Linked DNA regions of Xenopus tropicalis. The main gene of each other region encodes a partner of the protein of the gene in region 2 in a complex. Links are inferred from orthologs where the notes say so. Each region holds a gene or a part of one and is shown on either strand. Other genes may lie near its edges.

What was found. The genes of interacting proteins can lie anywhere in the genome.
Region 1: the proteins of irak2 (region 2) and irak4 are in contact, whole or in part, in a crystal structure (PDB 3MOP), measured with the Homo sapiens proteins. The link is inferred for Xenopus tropicalis from reciprocal best matches to the Homo sapiens genes IRAK2 and IRAK4. Residues at the interface, in NP_001561.3 of Homo sapiens: Tyr6, Ile36, Lys44, Met48, Glu59, Trp62, Trp63, Trp64, Gly65, Met66, Arg67, Gln68, Ala69, Gln73; in NP_001107654.1 of Homo sapiens: Asp24, Phe25, Pro28, Gln29, Lys34, Glu92, Phe93, Phe94, Ala95, Pro96, Ser98, Val105.

The regions. Positions count from the first base shown.
Region 1 is NC_030679.2:64,406,163-64,409,819, reverse strand, and holds part of irak4 (interleukin-1 receptor-associated kinase 4), read left to right. Parts: intron 1-1,271; coding exon 1,272-1,336; intron 1,337-2,999; coding exon 3,000-3,114; intron 3,115-3,657.
Region 2 is NC_030680.2:131,765,048-131,768,704, forward strand, and holds part of irak2 (interleukin-1 receptor-associated kinase-like 2), read left to right. Parts: intron 1-2,482; coding exon 2,483-2,671; intron 2,672-3,394; coding exon 3,395-3,459; intron 3,460-3,657. UniProt on the Homo sapiens protein: Binds to the IL-1 type I receptor following IL-1 engagement, triggering intracellular signaling cascades leading to transcriptional up-regulation and mRNA stabilization.

The DNA of each region.
Region 1 (3,657 bases), on a different chromosome or scaffold from region 2:
CAAATATTTTTCCTTGTTTTGTATTGTGGACATGATCTCTGATGAGGCTGTGCAGGGTGTAAATGTGGTCTGTGGTGCGGTGGTTTGGCAGGAACCCTGCTTGGCTCTGGCTGAGGACATTGTGCTGGGTTAGGAAGGTGAGGCTTCGCCTGTTCAGAATACTGTTGAAAAGTTTTCCCAGGGTGCTGCCCACACAGATCCCTCTGTAATTGGCTGGGTCGTACCAGTCCCCACTTTTGTAGATGGGGGTTATGAGGCTTTGATTTCATGCCTTGGGGAAGTGGCCGACACTCAGGGCTAGGTTGAAGAGTTTGGCTATTGCAGCATGTGTTTCTGGGGGGCCCTATTTAATCATCTCCGGCAGGATTCCATCTGTACCGGCGGCTTTTTAACATTGTAAGTCTTTTATTTTGTCTGCTATTTCCTGGGGTGCCATTGGTGCATCCAAAGGGGTCTGGAAGTCCTTGATTTTCTCCTCCAGAGCATGAAGCTTTGCCCTGTATATTCTTTTGTTCTGGGGTTTGCTCACATGGGGGATTTCTTTGTACAGATCCTTGAAATAGTTCCGCCAGATGTTGACATTTTGTATCTCTCTCTTTCTCCCTCTCTTTGAAATTTATCATAGCAGTTAGATGCAATACTATAAAGCAGTGGTACCCAGTGTTTGTCACCCTGTGATCTACTCTTTCACATTTAATGCCCATATAACATTATACAAATGTCAACACAGCAGTATGGCTGCAGTTAAATGCTCTGTTATGTTGGGGGGAAAAAGAAGTGGTGGGATGGCATCCCTCCTTGTGGTCTACGAAAAACTTTAAAGTGATCTACTGGTAGACCGCGATCTACCTCTTGGGCACCCCTGCTATAAAGTATCATTGGAACAAAATGTTGCTTTGTTACTTTTTGCTGTTATTGTTATGCCATATCAAAAACATCAAAACAGTGCCTAGTCTTAGTTGCCCAGTAATGCCACAGAACAACTACACTATAACTGTAATATTACAGTCTTGAATCAAAAATATACAGCTACTGCACATTGTTTTCTGTTACTCTATGTGGTGCTCATTGAGTTCTGAACTTGTCCTTGTTTTAAATACCATACAGCTGCTCTGCAAAACTGAATTAATAAGTTTGCCTTGCCTGCTACAGGGGCACATTGATTAGCATTATTTTTTTACTCTGTTTGAAACACTGAATGAAAAGAGGATGATGTTACTAAATAATTGACATTAGGGTTAACAATAATAAATTATCTTTTTTTTTTTTAGCTGGTCGATGCTAGTATTCAGGATCTAACATGCCAGTTTGAACAAGAAATCAAAATTATGGGCAAGTGAGTAATTCAACATTACTTCAATATTAGTGCTATAAAATAATGAGAAAAATAGTTTGGGCAAAAGTTTCCACACATTTTAGGCCATAAACAGAGAGAGACTGCTACTTTTCAAACTAAAAGAATTAATATCAGGAGCAAGGGTGTGCACACAAGCTTACCACTGCCATATGCAGTGTATGGTGATGTTAGGCAGGAGTGGTGAAAAGGTCTGAAGGGACAAATTGCACTTCACTACTGGGCAGTCTGATGCATGTGTTTGGTTGGTGCCAGGAAAATGTTACCTGTCTGAAGGTGTGACAACTATGTGTTTCATATTTATGTCAACAGTTTGGGGAAACCCCTTCCCAAATTCTGAATAATAATAATCTAATCAAAAAGTGGGGTTTGTTGAGGTTGGAGTTGAAGAGTCTGACTGAACTGCTTAGAGCCCTCAATTAACTGAACACTTGTGAAGTGGAACTCTGATTGCAAGCTAGGCCTGTTTGCCAAATATCAGTACCCAACCTCACAAATATTTTGTAGTCTAATTGAAGCAGATTCCACCAATCACGTTTCAATATTAAGTGGAAAGCATTCCCTGAAGAGAAGACGCATTCATTTCTTTGTAATACCCATGAAGTCAGACAATATACAAGCTACAGCTATACAATGATGCTGTAATTTTTACTTTATCAAAAATGTACCTTTCTTCCTTTGGTTAACATTCATACAGCATATTCAATTTGCCATACTGCGCGGTACATTTGCAGTGAATTAATGAGATGCCCTACATTTTTCTTTCCTTCCTGCTGCTCTGCAAATCCGAGAGTAGTTGCACTAACCCGGTTCATGGGACAGATGAAATTAAGCCATAAACAGAAAATGGAGTAGAGAAAGGGAACAAAAAAGCAAGAAATGGAGGAGTGGCTGGGCAGTTGTATTTATAAGTGAGTGGATGTGGTGAGTGTAAGTAAGTTTGTACAGTTCCAGTAGTAACTTTACTAAGAGAATCCTTTTGTTGAGTGATGGAGGTTATGGGCTCATCCAGTTCTGGGCTACCATCTTTTTGGGGTATAATAAAATGGGTTGCAGCCACGAATTTCATAACTTGTTGCCAGAATTCCTGCATATCAGGGCAAAACCATAGTGAGTGCAGGAAATGTAAATGCCGAAATTAGGCAGCATATGTAGCACATCATACATAAAAACATGACCAGTTTGTTTCGCTCCTTACTTAATCTATGCTGCTGCTTTCAGGAAATTCAGCAAAAGGTTACAATTGCTCCACAGTGGGCTATCTTGTTATACTTCCTTTAAACCTAAAATGCATAAAGCATCCGTTTAAATTGCTGATGTTTTGTTGCCTTGACTTTTACCACCTGGCATTAGTTTATTTGGGTACTATAGCTGCAATTTTTATTTTAGACCTGTATAAGCTTTAAGGCTTGCATACAACTGCAGATTTCTGTTATGTATATAATTAAAACATTGAAAACATGTGCTTTCATTTCTCTTGCTTTTGCTTACTAAATTTTTGATCACTGTGTCATATGAAAGACTACAGTATTCATGGTATGACAGGAGGAGAATTTTTTTTTTTGTAGTAGTTATCATGACTATTCCTGCCATTTGATTGTTGTTTACGGGAAAATTATCCCATGATATCTGTTTGTTTCTTTAGATGCCAACATGAAAACCTTGTAAAACTACTTGGTTATTCCAAAGATGGTGATCAGTACTGTCTGATATACACATATATGCCAAATGGTTCTTTGCTGGACAGGCTAGCTTGCTTGGTAAGTTCATATATTGTGATACTCAGAAGAATACAGAGGTACTCTGGTGTTGCAAAGCTGACATGTAGGATATGTAGCAACAACGTTTAGATGAATAAAAAATCAACATCTAGGGGAGGAATGGATGTATTTTTGTGATGGTCCATAGAAAGAAGCTGCATGTCCTGATAAATGTAAGTTGGGAAATTGAGGAAGGGGGCCTAAAGTTACACTTAGACACCTGCCATGGAAAACTGAATGTAGGGTGATGTTGTGGACTGTAATGTTAAATACAGGGAGGGGACTGGGTTTAAGTTGGAATATGTGCAGCTCAGGCCCATTTAAGTAAATAAGATATATGAGAGGGGACCATCTTGGAAAGAGTGGGTAGTGCCTTTGCAGGGGCACTTTAATATAGTTATATATATCGCTTTCCATGTCTTTTTAAACACTTATGATACCCAAAGTTTATATAATATGATAAACTGTTGGTTAATTGCCGTTTAATTTTTTTGCATTATTTTGCCCTTTATATGTATCAGTTTTCTTGTCCTTGAAATAAAA
Region 2 (3,657 bases):
CATTGCCATCCATGCCTTGGGTGCCAAATCTACTTGGCCTGGCTTTAATAGGGAGATTATCCTTTCCGTAAAACATACCTAAAAAGAAAGCTTTATGACAGCCCATATGTTGTGTTATAAGCTAATTAAATAATTTCTGTATTTCTACTAATAATTGCAATGTACCCACCCATGATACGTAAGCATAATGGGATGTGTTTTTCTATCTACTATATAAGTAATATCAAAACAAAATAAATTGGTACTTGTTTGCAATACACATACTGGTTGTATCGTTTGTACAAGTTCCCTGATCAGCGCACATGCGCAGACGATATCAGATGTTTCGCCGACGCACAGATTAAATCGGACCGGTCCGTGACTGCTTATAGGGACAGTGCTACAGGTGCACAGACAGAGTTACAGAGATTTACCCTAACAGTTCGTGCTACAGGTGTTACGAACAGAGATTACAGGATTTAACCCTTACAGTTCTGGTAATGTCACAATAATCTGGAAAGAAACAAGGCCTAGAGGCCCAGGTCTGAGATCACTGGTAGCATGTAGATCCAAAAAATAACTCATAATGGTTTTCTTTAGGCGTTACTAAGAAAAATATTCCATCTACGCAAACATAAATATTCTCCTTTAATAGCACAGTTCATTACGGGGCCCATTAAATTGAGTTATTGAGTTGTAGGCCCCAGGCTTTCTGCAATTAATGGACTCCTTGCCACTCCCTGAGTTCCATTTCTGACTTGTAAAAATAACAACTATAGTATCTCAGATCTGTGGTCTGCACCTAATCACCAAATCTGCTATGCAGCTTGCCAATCAGATAAACTTACAACGCAATATATCTGATAAGTATACTGGGAAAAAAACAGATACAACCACAAAGAGACATCTCATCTTCAGCATTCAGATTATTCAAGCCCTTGATCAGAACCTTAACCTTGCTTTCTAGTGCTTAATTAATTGTACAACCCACACATCGCAGTTTGGAAGCCCCACAGACTGAGATATAAGAAACACTGCACTGTTCACATGTTATTTAGTACAGATCCAGCTTAGTGTTACCTTCCCTGGGATATTAGCCTCAAAAAAATTATAAACCCCCCTTTTGACATGAGTTTATTCAGTTGAGGCGTTGTAGAAAAGATGCATAAACACTATCCAGAACAAAATATAAATGCACATTTATATATAGACAGCATGCTGGCATAATGATGCCTTCTCTGACTTATATCTGATTGAACCTAGGTCAGATATCATCAGCAGAGGCAATAAATCCTGCATATTAAGGGCAGCAGATATCGTATTGTATGTGAAAATCACCTGGGTTATCCAATGATTTTTTCAGTGAGGGACAGAAATTGAATCAGCTGATTGGGCCAACTGCTTTGGATGGTCAGGTCACCAAATGAGGAAGTTATGCTGTGTTTGGCCAGCTGTATGCATCCGACTAGGTTTTCTTCTCATTTAGAGACATATTGTATCTTTATAGACCATAAAAGAGTTGAAAATTTCAATAAGATGATCTGTGGGTATATTGATTGGTTGAATCAGTTAACATGTGCTGACACAGTGAAAATAGCTTCTTGCAGCCCCAGGTGCACGCTGTACCCACTGCCCGGGCAAATAAATACAAAAATGCTGAAAACAGCAGCACTTTTTGGCACTTGAGTAAAGATTCACATTTTTCAAAACAACCGGAGTGCTGCTGTTTTCATCATTTTTATATTGATTGGTTGAGGACCCCTCAGCTATTCCCTCACTTAGCCTAATGGATATCAGAGCAGTAATGAATTGGTTAGTAACCCGGTATCTATGTGTACGTTCATAGGATGTTAATAGGAACCCCTGCTGGTGTGTATTTTAGAGAAGAGCAGCACTTTCCCAGGGTCCAAAGATAGTAATTCTAATCATGGGGGATGGGATGATTTTTGCATTCCTTGGGACAGAGGGAGTACTATTCTGGAATGGCCATTCTTAAAAACAGGGATCCCTAAACTCTATTATATATTTCTCTTTTTGCTTTTTATGACTTTCATACAGCCAGAAAGATTTCCCAATGCTTTAATAACAATGTGGCACCCAAGTGCAAGGTATCAGTAAAACATGTTAATGATATGAAACAGCCTGATACAGTTTACATTTTAAAGCAAATACAGGTATAGGACCCATTATCCAGAATGCTCGGGACCAGGGGTATTCAGGATAACGGGTTTTTCCGTAATTTGGATCTCCATACATTAAATCTATTAAAAAAATCTATAAAACATTAATTAAACCCAATAGGATTGTTTTGCATCCAATAAGGATTATTTATATCTTAGTTGGGATCAGTTACAAGGTACTGTTTTATTACTACAGAGAAAAAGGAAATCAGTTCTAAAATTCTGAATTATTTGATTAAAATGGAGTCTATGGGAGACGGGCTTTCCGTAATTCGGAGCTTTCTGGATAATGTACTATATTTTATTTTTCATTGATTGTAAAGGTTCTTAGTATCCCGCAGCAAGAGAAAAGTTCCTTTTCAAAAGGGTTGTGTAAAATATGGACGCAGAAGGACGTGGAGGATGCCACTGACTGTTTCTGCAGCAGCAAAATCATACACGAAGGAGAATTTGCCGACGTTTACATGGGACACAAACAAGACAAACTATATGCAATAAAAAGGCTTAAAAAGGTAAAGTAGATTAGTCCATGGATATTCATTTCTGTTTTTAATAGGATGCAAAGTGCAAAACATTTGGGGCTCATTTATCAATATTGGAAATTCTCCCATGAGCAGTAACCCATAGCAACCAACCAGTTGTAGGTAGAACAATAAGTGCAACAATTTGATTGGTTGCCATGGGTTACTGCCCATCAGTGCCAATCAGTGTTGATTAATGACCCCAATGGTGTTTTGCTCCTGTTTTTTTTTGACATTGCACTTTGCCCTGCTCTATGTTAGTGAGCTGTCTAGGGTAAATCACCAGCTAGGGCCAGTGCTGGTACTATAAATTTACTAGCAATATATTTGCTGGTAAATTTGTAAGGGTGGCAACCCTACCTATAAATCCCTCCCTTCTCTAACCCACTCCATGGCCAATCACCCCCTTTAAAGCAGAGGCCCACCTCTTCCCTGCCCATTTCTATGCACATCCAGCCCATATCCCACCCCATCCACCTATTTTCCCACCCTGTTACATCACTCCACCCCCAAGTGACATCACTGTCCACCCCCAACCCGAAGGCGGATATTGGTGGCAAAAACAGGTGGCAACCCTAACCAAGGACCACAAACTTAAAACCCTGAAATCTCAAGCATGTTTTTTTCCATGCAGTACTAGCACCTTCATAGTTCATTTCGTGCCTCCCGTGATGTAATAACATGATTTGTAATGTTTGTGGTTTTCTCTTCTAGGTACAGGATGAAGAGCAAAAAAGGATGTCTTCATTTTTCCACACAGAGGCTCAAATCAGTTTCCGGTACGTGCCATCATTAGGGAACTTCTACAGATAGTATGGCCAATCTCATATGCTGCTGTATCCTAGCAGAGTAAGGTACTGCTCTATTCAGGAAGTGAGACAGGTAAAAGTAAATCACTTCCCTTGTTGTAAAAAGCTGATATAAAAACAAGAAGGGGAAGGGGCTGCAAAACAGATGGACAAGCCTGTCACCATTCC